2 linked regions of the Oryza sativa Japonica Group genome follow. The protein of the gene in region 1 interacts with the protein of each later gene in a pairwise test. Links are inferred from orthologs where the notes say so. Each region holds a gene or a part of one and is shown in the gene's direction. Other genes may lie near its edges. The genes, in order: cleavage and polyadenylation specificity factor subunit 2 and flowering time control protein FY.

Evidence for each region.
Region 2: the proteins of cleavage and polyadenylation specificity factor subunit 2 (region 1) and flowering time control protein FY interact in binary tests that used the Arabidopsis thaliana proteins (3 or more experiments, as listed by UniProt). The link is inferred for Oryza sativa Japonica Group from reciprocal best matches to the Arabidopsis thaliana genes CPSF100 and FY.

The regions. Positions count from the first base shown.
Region 1 is NC_089043.1:27,165,979-27,171,839, reverse strand, and holds part of cleavage and polyadenylation specificity factor subunit 2, read left to right. Parts: intron 1-306; coding exon 307-475; intron 476-558; coding exon 559-655; intron 656-724; coding exon 725-851; intron 852-932; coding exon 933-1,048; intron 1,049-1,427; coding exon 1,428-1,522; intron 1,523-1,606; coding exon 1,607-1,758; intron 1,759-2,125; coding exon 2,126-2,183; intron 2,184-2,245; coding exon 2,246-2,353; intron 2,354-2,725; coding exon 2,726-2,978; intron 2,979-3,070; coding exon 3,071-3,252; intron 3,253-3,434; coding exon 3,435-3,530; intron 3,531-3,625; coding exon 3,626-3,724; intron 3,725-4,008; coding exon 4,009-4,140; intron 4,141-4,350; coding exon 4,351-4,395; intron 4,396-5,111; coding exon 5,112-5,276; intron 5,277-5,685; coding exon 5,686-5,760; intron 5,761-5,861. UniProt on the Arabidopsis thaliana protein: CPSF plays a key role in pre-mRNA 3'-end formation, recognizing the AAUAAA signal sequence and interacting with poly(A)polymerase and other factors to bring about cleavage and poly(A) addition. Required for antisense-RNA-mediated gene silencing.
Region 2 is NC_089035.1:42,528,069-42,535,547, reverse strand, and holds the start of flowering time control protein FY, read left to right. Parts: upstream 1-2,860; 5' UTR 2,861-2,984; coding exon 2,985-3,204; intron 3,205-3,309; coding exon 3,310-3,401; intron 3,402-3,643; coding exon 3,644-3,712; intron 3,713-4,487; coding exon 4,488-4,592; intron 4,593-5,146; coding exon 5,147-5,242; intron 5,243-5,319; coding exon 5,320-5,402; intron 5,403-5,524; coding exon 5,525-5,596; intron 5,597-5,682; coding exon 5,683-5,780; intron 5,781-5,905; coding exon 5,906-5,965; intron 5,966-6,034; coding exon 6,035-6,095; intron 6,096-6,186; coding exon 6,187-6,274; intron 6,275-6,828; coding exon 6,829-6,892; intron 6,893-7,131; coding exon 7,132-7,210; intron 7,211-7,479. Other genes in the region: probable ADP-ribosylation factor GTPase-activating protein AGD11, read right to left, coding at 1-62, 479-549, 722-783.

The DNA.
Region 1 (5,861 bases):
CCTGTAATAGATAGCCTGCTTTCAGGTTGAACTCTGACTCATATTTATATTTATTTTTCTATGCTGAATAAACTTATTCTTGTTCGTCTTCCTTGATTGTTGAGTAATCATGGCATAGATTTAGTAGCAATTATCTCACCAGCTTGGTACTAGTAGCCTCAAAATCATGCAAAAGTTCCATTTTAAGCTCCCATGATCTTTGTTGTTCAATTATTCAAATTACACATCTGTAAAGATTGAAGGGAACACTTGAACATGTTTCAGTATTTTTATGGATTATGAATTTGATCAGTATTTTTTTTTCAGGGTTGCACCAACAATAGATGCAGTTCTTTTGTCTCATGCCGATACCATGCATCTAGGAGCTTTGCCATATGCTATGAAACATCTCGGACTATCTGCACCAGTATATGCCACAGAACCTGTATTTAGACTTGGCATTTTAACCTTGTATGATTACTTTATATCACGACGGGTAAGCTTTCTAGTGTCCATTTTAACCTCTTGTTTGTTTCATTGCATATAGTGGATCTAACCATTCTTTATTTTCCTTTGCAGCAAGTTTCAGATTTTGACTTGTTTACTTTGGACGATATTGATGCTGCATTCCAAAATGTTGTTAGATTGAAGTACTCACAGAACCACCTTTTGAATGGTCAGTAAGCATGCTGTTGATGTATATCCTTTGCTAAATTACATCCCCTTACATACTATTGATTGGCAGATAAAGGTGAAGGAATAGTTATTGCTCCACATGTTGCTGGGCATGATTTGGGTGGCACGGTATGGAAGATAACAAAAGATGGGGAGGATGTTGTTTATGCTGTTGACTTCAACCATCGTAAAGAGAGGTTAAATCCTTCCTTTGTCATTTACTTGTCATTTTAGTTTTCTCTTTATTAGCAAATAATAACAGCAATGTGCTTTTCCAGGCATTTGAATGGTACTGCTCTTGGATCATTTGTACGGCCAGCTGTTCTGATAACTGATGCATACAATGCCTTGAACAACCATGTCTACAAAAGGCAGCAGGATCAAGATTTCATTGGTACAACACTGGACATGTTATTATCATAGCTCTCTATCTCTATCTCTTTTTCAAATGCTTTCAGCTCTAGCATTACTACTATACCCACACAGCCATGGTTGCAGGTAACAGCTCATGATAATTTTGTTGGAAGCTGTTTTTTACTTATGTTTTCTCCATCAAAGTAGCACTGATGAATATATCTTCTATTTTCCAAATTTGCAACTTGGACACAACTTTTTTTATTTCTCAATTATTTTTTAGTGCTACACATTGTTGAGTTCAATAATAAACTATTAATATTTTAGACTCCAAATATATGTTATCGTGTATATGGTTTGTTTTAGTTACTGTATGGGAATCCTCTTGTGATGTCTAATTGACATCCTGTTTCATGCAGATGCATTAGTGAAAGTTCTAACTGGTGGTGGTAGTGTGTTACTGCCGATTGATACAGCTGGTAGAGTTCTTGAAATTCTTTTGATATTGGAGCAGGTGAAATCTTGAAGGTCTTGTTCTCGTACTGTTTTATTTTGTTATGTCAATAATATGTTCACCTTTTGTCTTGATTTATTGCAGTACTGGGCTCAACGGCATTTGATCTACCCTATCTACTTTCTGACAAATGTTTCTACGAGTACTGTTGATTATGTCAAGAGTTTTCTTGAATGGATGAATGATTCAATCTCAAAGTCTTTTGAACACACTAGAGACAATGCCTTCCTATTAAAGTACGAATGATTCTTGTTACTTTCCTTTTTTTCAGTTCATCGTTTTGTTTTATTCTGTGCATATTGACAATTGCTATGCATTGCAAGCCTGAAGATTCATGATGAGCTTATTATTTTACATTTCAACAGCCCAATAGACATGTTTCCTCTATTACTTTCTCCTTATGGAGTCATATTTATATTTTATCTCATTGGGCTGTCCTGTTATTACAATACTGTATTATCAGAGCCAATTCAACTGCCTCTTTTCCTGAATCAGCGCTATACTATTATTTGTTTATAAACTTCATATATAACTTTCTTAAGAACGATATTTGTATGATTGTTTTGTTTAGTTTCTACAACTTTTGTTTTTTCTGTGTTGCAGATGTGTTACACAGATAATAAACAAAGATGAGCTTGAAAAGCTGGGAGATGCACCAAAGGTTAGAGTAACATTTATTTCCTCCATACTGTCGGAAACGTGAATTTAACAAACATTTAGCAGGTGGTTCTAGCATCCATGGCAAGCTTGGAGGTTGGCTTTTCTCATGACATATTTGTTGATATGGCAAATGAAGCAAAGAATCTAGTACTTTTTACTGAGAAGGGACAGGTAAATCCATGTACTCAATATATCTGGATGGTTTATTTCTTTCTCAGCACATACATTCAATAACTAGCTACATACAAACCATTATAGCTTCAAACCTGTAAGTGACAAGTAGTCCAACACCTTGAAGGGGCCTTAGCAAATTGATTGCTACAACCTACATGAAACTTTTAAAATTTGTGTAAACAACATGAATCTTGATGATGAATCCAAACTTACGTCACGTTAACCATATCCTCTCTGCCTTCATGTTCCATAGATTTCTGTATTTGCAAAAACTGATCAAACATTTGTGTTGTTCTCACTCAGCAAAAGAATTCTAGCATCATATATCTATGTTCTACAGCTATCTAATTACAAAGTATCCCATTCCAGTTTGGGACACTAGCTCGCATGCTCCAAGTAGATCCACCTCCAAAAGCTGTAAAGGTCACTATGAGCAAGCGAATTCCTTTAGTTGGTGATGAGCTGAAAGCTTACGAAGAAGAACAAGAACGGATAAAAAAGGAGGAAGCGCTAAAGGCCAGTCTAAACAAAGAGGAGGAAAAGAAGGCGTCTCTTGGATCAAACGCAAAGGCTTCTGATCCCATGGTTATTGATGCCAGCACATCTCGCAAACCATCCAACGGTATAGCTAGGCTGCGTTTGTAAGACCTTTACGATCTGATGCAATATATTATATGTGGTTAACAACCCTTCTTGGCTCTGTGGTTCCATCAGCTGGTTCAAAGTTTGGCGGGAATGTGGATATTCTCATTGATGGATTTGTCCCTCCATCATCAAGTGTTGCTCCAATGTTTCCTTTCTTTGAAAATACTTCTGAATGGGATGACTTCGGTGAGGTTATCAACCCTGAAGACTATCTGATGAAGCAAGAAGAAATGGATAATACTTTGATGCCCGTAAGTTTGCTTATGTACTTTTTTTCTTTTTTTTACAATCGGAACCCTGTGGCCAGATGGTTTAATTTTGCCTGGAGCATATCAGCCAACTATGTTTAGGGTTTTCTTTCTTGGAACCTGAAAAAACTTGAAATGCCAACAAAATAAACTTGAATGTCAATGTTTTCATGAATTGTTTTCAGGGTGCTGGGGATGGTATGGATAGTATGCTTGATGAGGGCTCAGCACGCCTACTCCTTGATTCTACACCCTCAAAAGTTATTTCCAACGAGATGACTGTAAGTTTTTTTTCCCATTTACTTCATTTTGTCTGTCTGTTTATTTATTTCTAGAAAAATCTTTACTTCTATTTAATTATGATCAACATTTTTAGGTGCAAGTCAAGTGTTCATTAGCATATATGGACTTTGAAGGTCGGTCTGATGGGCGCTCTGTAAAATCTGTTATTGCTCATGTGGCCCCATTAAAACTTGTAAGTGCTGGAAATACCCTTCTTTTAGCATCCATGATTTAGGATTTAGAATTTATACTTTTTGACACATGATTATCTCCTTCTTGGAACATATATTTTTCTCACGTATATAGCTTGTCCCTTTTCAACAAGAAATTAGTTTGAAATTCCCTAAACCTATTTACTGATTATTATTGATGCCCTTGAGCTATGGAAACCATTTACAAATACAATTATTTACATTTCCGTTTATTTCTTGAGGGTAAACATGCCATCACATACTGAAGCTCCTGTTACATTTTCAGGTTTTGGTTCATGGATCAGCAGAAGCTACTGAGCATTTAAAAATGCATTGTTCGAAGAACTCAGACTTGCATGTTTATGCTCCTCAGATAGAAGAAACTATTGATGTGACATCAGATTTATGTGCTTACAAGGTCTGTATAACGTTTATGTTAACAGCCAAACTCTTATTATGTGTGACGGGCAGGCGTTGCCTGATGCTGGTGTCCAATTCTTATCCGATGACTTAAACAACATGAGGCAAAACTGAATAGTTGCCATTTACCAATCATTTTTACTGCACTATCACTGTATCATATATTTCCATACATACACAAACTTATTCACTATCTTTGTAATTTCAGGTACAACTTTCGGAGAAGTTAATGAGTAATGTTATTTCTAAGAAGGTAAGAGCATTGGTTTCCTCCTTCACTATTAATGTATTTTATCCTTCAACTGGTGCTAATAAATCTCCTTGATGTGGACGCTATCAGATGATATAAACTTGAACCAAATTAAGCTATCAAACTGATTTTTTTGCTTATAAAGTGAGCCAGATTCCCAGGACCATTCATGTTTCAGTAGTAATAAGATTATAACCAGAAAAGGCAGAACTTCTTCTATTGTTGCAAAAATGTTACTTCATATGCAATATGTATATGAATGACCGAGGTCCTTCCAATGCAGTTTTGAGAAATGATTGATTCCATACTGGTTACTGGATGGTCCATTCTGTTGCCCTAGTCAGTCGAATGTTTTTCAGCATAAGAAGCCTTTCATGACAAAATTGTCTGTGAACCAGATACCACAAGCCTGTGATTATTTCTTTTTTTTTTTGCCCATACAAGAATATGAATGACCGAGGTCCTTCCAATACAGTTTTGAGAAATGATTGATTCCATACTGCTTACTGGATGGTCCATTCTGTTGCCCTACTCAGTTGAATGTTTTTCAGCATAAGTAGCCTTTCATGACAAAATTATCTGTGAACCTGATACCACAAGCCTGTGATTATTTTTTTTTTTGCCCATACAAGTATACAACCTTTGGGGGCTAACCTGAAACTGCACTTTGTTGTTATGGATTAGCAGTAAGAAAGCACTAACACTGGCACTCTGTGCAGTTGGGTGAGCATGAAATTGCATGGGTAGATGCAGAGGTTGGAAAAACAGATGACAAGCTTACTTTGTTGCCCCCGTCGTCAACTCCAGCAGCCCACAAGTCAGTTCTTGTGGGTGATTTGAAATTGGCTGATTTTAAGCAATTCCTGGCAAATAAAGGTTTGCAGGTAAGTTTTCATTTTCAAATATGTTAGTACTGTATAATATTAAGTTCTTGGATATACTGGCCCTTCACGTTTCAGTGTTGAGAGAGAGAGAGAGAGAGAGAGAGAGAGAGAGGGAGGGAGGGAGGGAGGGAGGGAGAGAGAGAGAGAGAGAGAGAGAGAGAGAGCATGTCCTGACAGTTACAACTGTTACTCCTGCTCCCATACAGAACCAGTTGTTAGATGGCTCCTCTTAGGAGTACACTTAATATTGTTTGCATAACTTACTAGTAGCTGGAATACCAAAATCGATTAACAAAACTGTAATAGGCTAACTTGGAAGCAGATGTTAACCAGGCTGTAAGCATGAGTAATTATAGCTGTTGATACATTCTGAAACCATTGAAATTCAGGGCTAAGAGATTTCTTGCAGGTTGAATTTGCTGGTGGTGCTTTACGGTGTGGTGAATACATCACACTGCGCAAGATTGGTGATGCTGGCCAAAAGGTAAGTAGTGGTGAAGTAGCATCCAGTATATCGCTGTGAACATGCTATTGCCAGGCTTTGATCCGCTGCGGCTGTTCAAGGACAGCATGCTATACTGATTT
Region 2 (7,479 bases), on another chromosome or scaffold:
ACAAATTTTGTTTGCTGGTTGGTTTAAAAGATGCTCTAATCTCTCTGCTGTACCAACTGGACCTGGCACCAATCATGGATGAACATCGGTCATTATCACAAACAACAAATGGATAAGTAGCAACTTCATCTGGATTTCTATACAATACAAGGGGACATTTAGCTTCTTCTTCTCCCTCTTTCTTTTTGAAACAACTAGCTTCATCTGTCTAGAAACTTGCTAAGTGTTAATGGAGTGGCAGGAAGTATTTCATTCTGCTTGAAATTAATAACAGCAGCCAAGAAGAAGTTGAATGCTAAAGTAGACTTCACACTTTACAATTAATATTTATTTGTTCCTCCCTAACGGATGTTCATGTTGACGATTATATAAAAGGAAAAAAAAAGAAGCTATAGCAACTCTATAATTTCAATTGGAATGTAGGCAGCATCCAATTCCACATGCCAAGATTTCAAAGGGGACATCAAAAGGGAGAAACCTTGGGGATTGCCTCCTTGCTGATTGCCGTGGTCATTCGCATCGATCCTCGATGCCATTCCACAAATTCTCCTGCACACATGCAAAGGGGGTGGGGATAACATCAGACACCGAATTAGCTCAATCCGTATGAAATGCAAGAACCGAGCCAAATCAATCAAAAAGAACAAAAATTACCAAATCGCAATCGTCAGTCGCAGCATTGGGGCATGAAGAATGGGAGGGGGGGAGAGGGGGTGCTTACCTCGCGCTGCGCTGCGGCTTGGGGCTATCAACGAATTGGTGCACTGGTTTGTGCCCCTCCATGATCTTATTATCCTCCTCATAGACATCACATCCCCGCGATGGGAGGGGACGCGACGACAATGTGGGGATCCATCACCCCCCGCAAATAATTAAATCGGGGGGGATTTGGGATGCAGCTCAGATCGAGTGATTAAAGAAATGCGCGGCGGGAGGAAGAACAAGTCTTCGTGGGGGGCCGGCGATTTGCCGTCGAGGAGGAAATGGTTGATCCGTCGTTTTTGTTTAATGTTGAGCTGCGTATGAGCGAGCGAGTGGTTGGGTGGGGGTTAATAATAGGGAGCGGTGGCGGTTCGTTTTCCCGGTGAGCCTTCGCTGTCTTGTTCACTGCATGTAGCAGCAAAAATATTTCCTGAAACTAGTAAATGTTTCTGAAACTACAGAATGGACCTTGAAAATTCAAACGCATGTCTTTAAATATAAAATTTCATGCATGCGACGGCAATTCCTATGCAATTTGATAGATTGTCTAAGAAATCTTAAGCCTACCGTCGTTTATGAGATTCAAGTGGGCTTTAAAAAAAACAAAAACACACGCAATTTGTACACTTGATGACATGTAGACCGTTTATGGCAGACTTTATCTACTTAAACATTATATCTTTAGTATGACTAAGAGGAATTAGGATGAATATTTTATATGGTTCAGTTTTATTTGTCCCTTTTTTTCTAGTGATTTTCAAAATGACACTGTTTTACAGTGGGTGGTTTTTTTTCATTGTGGGAGAAGTGTGATTTAGGTTCTGTTTGTTTCGGTTTAAGATTATTATAATATAGATTATTGAGCCATATTACAATAAGTTGGATTATAATAAACCGACATAGAATAATCTGTTAGTTGTTTGTTTCTACTGGACTGTTGGATACTTTTGGTAAAAAAGATAGGGAAATTCTTGATTATTCAACACCGGATCGTTATTAGCTATTAGCCACCCAATAATTAAAGAAAGCACCTTTAGAGTGGATTACCATATTATAGTAATCTGGCTCATAGATTGTAATAATTATCATAATAAGTTATCTGTTTGTTTCGACTTATTTATAATAATCTAGAATATAATAATCCTAAACTGAATCAAACAAAGTCTTAAAGAGAAGGTCGACGACAACTTCATTTTTACGTTTTCAACAATAACTACAACATGGTACGTGGATATGCACGCACTTAGAAACTCATACAATAATATTAGATTATGTAAACAACTAGACATCGGTGCTAAAATTATCAAATTCAACTAGAAACCCACATGTACAATACCAGAACGAGTCTAGAGGATCTATGCCTAATGATCTTTTTTTATAGAATATATAGGAATATAAAAGCACAAAAAATCAATACACGTGCAAAAACACATATATTTAGGACGTGGGGGAAAATATAACGTGTTGTGTCTGACATAAAATTCGCCGGATATGGATTTTTTAGGCAGATATAAATCTTAATAAAACTATCACTATTGATTATGATAATTTGAAGTTATATAGCTTGATTTGCCTAGACTAGGTGAATGTTTAAATTCCCATGAAATATAGTAGAATCTCCTACGGAATCTAAAAATACAAAATTTCTCCCCTAAAAAGTAAAAACCCTTCATCCAAAGAAGCACTAGACCATTCGCATATTTGTTTAGAGAAAAACTACTTTGAGTTTGCTTTTATTTGGAGGAAGCAACAGGAGCTTTTTTTTTTTTTAGAAAGAGCGGATAATTTATTTATTACCATCCACATTTACATTCCTATTCATATTACAAGGAGGATTTGAGAACCAAAGATAACGCCCCTCCTGTAAAGTAGAAGCAAACTTAGCTAAGTTGTGAGCATCAAAATTACAAGCCCGATTTTCATGACGAAACTCTACTTTTGCAAAATGCTTCCTTTTTGCCTCAGTATCATTTAGGACTGCTAAATATTGGCACCTTGGTTTGGAAGCAACAGGAGCTAAATACACGAGAGGCCTCGCATGGGCTAAAAATCCTTGCCGTCAACGTGGATGGGCCGGCCTTGAAGGCCCATCTAAATGAGGCCAGAGTGGGCCTGTATGGCCCAAATACATCTCGCGAGGCAAGCGAGGCAGCACAGCACTCGACCACTCGCCTCACGGAGCTCACCCTCCCGCGGCGTCTCCTCGGCGGAAGAACCCCGAACCCCCGCGCCGCACGGATCCAAAACCCTAGCTCAGGTCGGCGGGGCTCGCGGCGGCGGAGATGATGCAGCAGCAGCAGCAGCCGCCGCCGCCGCCGCCTCCGCCGCAGCACCCGCCGCCGCCTCAGGCCGGGGGCGGCGGCGGCGGGGAGTTCTACCGGGGCCCGCCGCCGCAGCCGCCGATGCGGCAGCTCTCGGCGGCGTCCTCCACCAACATCCCCGGCGACTACGCCGCGCACCAGGGGCACCCCCCGCCGCAGCAGAACCAGCCGCCGTACGACGGTAACAGTGCCGCTCTTTTGGTAGTTTCGTCGCTGGCTAGGGTTAGGGGCACAGCAGCGGTATTGGTGCGCGTTCTTATGTTATCGTAATTTTGGCTCAATTCAGCTTATGGGGACAATTTCGGTGCTAAAAGGATGCGGAAGCCTGTCCAGCGGCGAACAGTGGACTACACAAGCACAGTCGTCCGTTATGTTCAAGTATAAATATAACAAACTTATTTCTCAAGCAGTTATAGTGATATATGTTTTGTTCTATTTTGTGGGAGCCTATTATACAGTTGAACTTTGCTTACTATATGCTCCTTTTACTGTGCCTGCTGCAAACATCACATGAATATGAAATGCTCATAAGTTGATTTTTCTGTGCAATAAGATCTAGCACCCTGTATTTTTCTTATTCTTCTGCTAGCACTGATCACCATTATGTATATGACATGCAGGCTCGCATGTGGCAGCGGGATGCTAGGGACAGGCCCACTGTGCAGCCGACTCCAGCTGCTGTTCTGGACGTATGTTACCTTACCCATTTGCCTTGCTTGTAACCAACATGTTAAAAGATAGTTGCCATACTGTTTTCTGTTTTTAGACTTTTATACTTCTGACGCTCACATTTCTTTTGTAATTTGGATTTCAACAAACCACTATGTACATTATATTGATGTCCTTTGCAATCTCATGATTGGGAAGATCTTGAATATTCTTGAGTCAAGGTTCTGGTTAAACGGAAATGTTATGCAGTAAAAATGATAGTCTTAGAAAAAGAAAACTATATTGTTGTATGAATGGATTGTTGTATGTGGATTAATCAAACTCCTGTTGCTATCTAGGGAGAGTGCCTATCAGATCCTGTCTTTGGTTGTTGTTTTTGGGCCATTTAGCTTGCTAATTAATGCATAAGTTTTCAGTTTTGCCACAACTATGTAAATCTGTCTGGATGTTATTTATGATATATATGTGAGATAAATCCTCCATGGTACAACGTAAAACTGAGGGTGCTCAATGGATTAAGCTGACAAAATTAGATCTTTAACTCTTCAGTCTTCAGGCAATATTTTACGTAGAACATACTTATGTCTCATTCCTTTTAATTAGCTGAGTGCTGCTATTTTGGTTAAGGGTTTTGGATTGATTACTGGGTAGTGCTGTCATCTTGGACAAAAGATGATTAAGTTTGATGAATTAATTGTTCAGTTTGGATGATTATGAAATTGTCTGTATCTACTGTATTTTGAATACATTGTCTGGTATCTGGATATCCTGATTAATGTGGGTTTTTTTTTTCAGATGTTGCCGTCTGTTGCATACCCCGATAATCCCTCAACAAGTTTTGCTGCAAAATTTGTACATTCATCAATAAACAAGAACCGATGCTCTATTAATCGGGTCTTGGTGAGTTCTATGATATCCATCTCTATGCTTTCCTAGTATCCCAACTGCTATTTTTATATTTTTCAAAGAGCTCCACTAAGCCTTGGCTAGTGCATGGTCACTGAAGGACAGCGATACCTTCAGAATGCTGAAAACTATAGAATCGATCTAACTTCTAGGTGTTCACCACCATTCACCTTATTGCTGAGCTTCCTTTTCTTCTGAAATCTAATTTTATATTTATCTGTAGGCAGCTACTCTTACCATTTTAAATCAAATATATTTGATGGTATATTATATTTTTACTTGTTTTCTACATTTTTTATGGTAGAATTAAGGATTGATGGCAGTACAACTTTAAAATGTCACTTGATAGGCTCACACACTGTTTGAAAAATGTTCCAATTTTTTTACACCAGCTAGTGCAGAGGGTTGATAACTCCATTCCAAGTATCTTTATATTGGTGTAATCTAACTGAATTCGTATATTGTGTACCACGTTGATATTATTAGGCTAAATATGATTTCTCCTTTTGTCATTTATGTGTCTAATGTATCGTTATTTGTTGATAAAGTGGACTCCCACAGGGCGTCGGCTTATTACGGGATCACAGAGTGGTGAATTCACCCTATGGAATGGCCAATCTTTTAATTTTGAAATGATCCTTCAGGTATTCTATAATTTTGCTCCAGATTTTCTAGTAATGTGTCATTGAGTTTGCTGATTTTTGGAGGAATTTGATAATAGGCTCATGACCAAGCTGTAAGATCAATGATTTGGAGTAACAATGAGAACTGGATGGTCACTGGTGATGATGGTGGTGCAATCAAGTATGTTGGCCTTTTGAATTTTTATCACTGTCAGTCTGTCACCCTGTTGGATACTGATCCTTAAGTTAACATGTTGATCTTTTCACTGACATGTCAAGTGCACGTTTTGACTTCCTTTGTAGGTATTGGCAAAGTAACATGAACAATGTTAAAGTTAATAAAACAGCTCACAGAGAATCAGTTCGTGACTTGAGGTGATGGCAGCCCCATGTGCTTTTTTCTTTACTTTACCTATACCAAGTTAATGTTCATTCTCTGTTACAATGCATCTTTTAAACAGCTTTTGTAGAACAGACCTGAAGTTTTGCTCCTGTTCTGATGACACTACTGTGAAGGTTTGGGACTTTGCAAGATGCCAGGAAGAAAGATCCTTAACTGGTAATGTTGTTGTACTTTTCTATGAGCCCGAACTACTTGATCCTCGCATGCATGAAGTTATTGCATGATATCTTATATTATTTTTACCCATCAAGTAACCTGAATTTGCCTTCATACTCAGCCAGGCCATGGTTGGGATGTTAAGAGTGTCGATTGGCACCCTACAAAATCTTTACTGGTTTCAGGTCAGTTATTATGCTTGCTAGTTTAATGAGCTTATTTGTGTAGAGCTAATTCTATTTTTTGTTATTTAGGTGGTAAAGACTATCTCGTGAAACTTTGGGATGCAAAAAGTGGTAGAGAGCTACGTTCATTGTATGTATTGTTTCATCGTTCGTATTACTTTGCTAATGTTGAAAGTCAGCAACACATCAGCACATGATGACCTGATGAGCTATATCTGCAGCCATGGTCATAAAAACATTGTACAATGTGTAAAGTGGAATCAGAATGGGAACTGGGTGTTGACTGCCTCCAAGGATCAGATTATTAAGGTCAATATTTTTTGCTTGTGTACCCTGTTCTGTTCATCCATTCTTTCTGCAAAGTGTTCTGTTTACACTGCTTAGTTTTCTCATCTATTTGACATGCTTGTGCTAGTGAGGTATACCATGGGAATGGGGGGGTTCATACTCAATGTTGATGCAAAATTTTAATGTCCCTAGGACGCATCATCAGAAAAAAAAAAACAGCTATTCAGCATGACTACTTCCTCCGTTTCACTTTATAGACGTTTTGGGTTTTAAATAGATTCATGCATGTCCAAATTCTTACAGCTAGTGAATCTAGACAAGAGATGGAGAGGCCAAAACGTCTTAAATGTGAAACAGAGGGAGTAATAATCAATTATTGAAACAAAGTTTTATTTGGTGGTTGAAACTATTGTCTAGAGAAGAATTACTGCTTTCTCCATAATTAAGTGAATTCAATATAATATTTTCTGTTTTCTTAATAAGACATTATAAGTTCCGTTTGTTTCATATCTACTAAATAAAACACACTATATTGGATAGTTTCTAACTTGCTATTGCTAATGTGTTTTATGCAGCTATATGATATTAGATCCATGAAAGAGCTTGAATCCTTCCGTGGACACAACAAGGATGTGACTGGTTAGATTCTCACTACATAATTTGAATTTTAGGTTCCCTTCCTGGAGTTTAAGATTTGATACATTTTTCATTTTTCAATCAAACAGCAGTTGTAATTTATTTGTTTCATTGCAAATCATGCATTATGGATATCAAACTACTGACTGAAATGTTGCATGGGAAATTGTCATATCCGCCACTCCCTTATTTGCCATGGTTGTTTTGAATAGATAATATACTCAATTTATTTATTTATGCAGCTTTGGCATGGCATCCATTTCATGAAGAATATTTTGTTAGCGGGAGCTATGATGGAGCGATCTTTCATTGGTTGGTTGGGTAAGACATCAGAAATGCAATTAAAATAAAAAAATTCTAGTTGGCATGGTAGTTTCTTTTCCCATTGGAACTTGGGTTTTTGTTTAACTGTGATATTGTAGTGTTAGACCACTCTGGCTTGTGTTTACGATTACTTAAGTTTACTGTGTGCTTAACCTGTCTGATGAATATATTTAGCTTTCAAGTTTCTTCTTGAACTTTTCACTTGTTACATTCTTTTAGAGGAAATACATTTTTTTGTTGGCTACAAATGACTCAATCTGACTAAA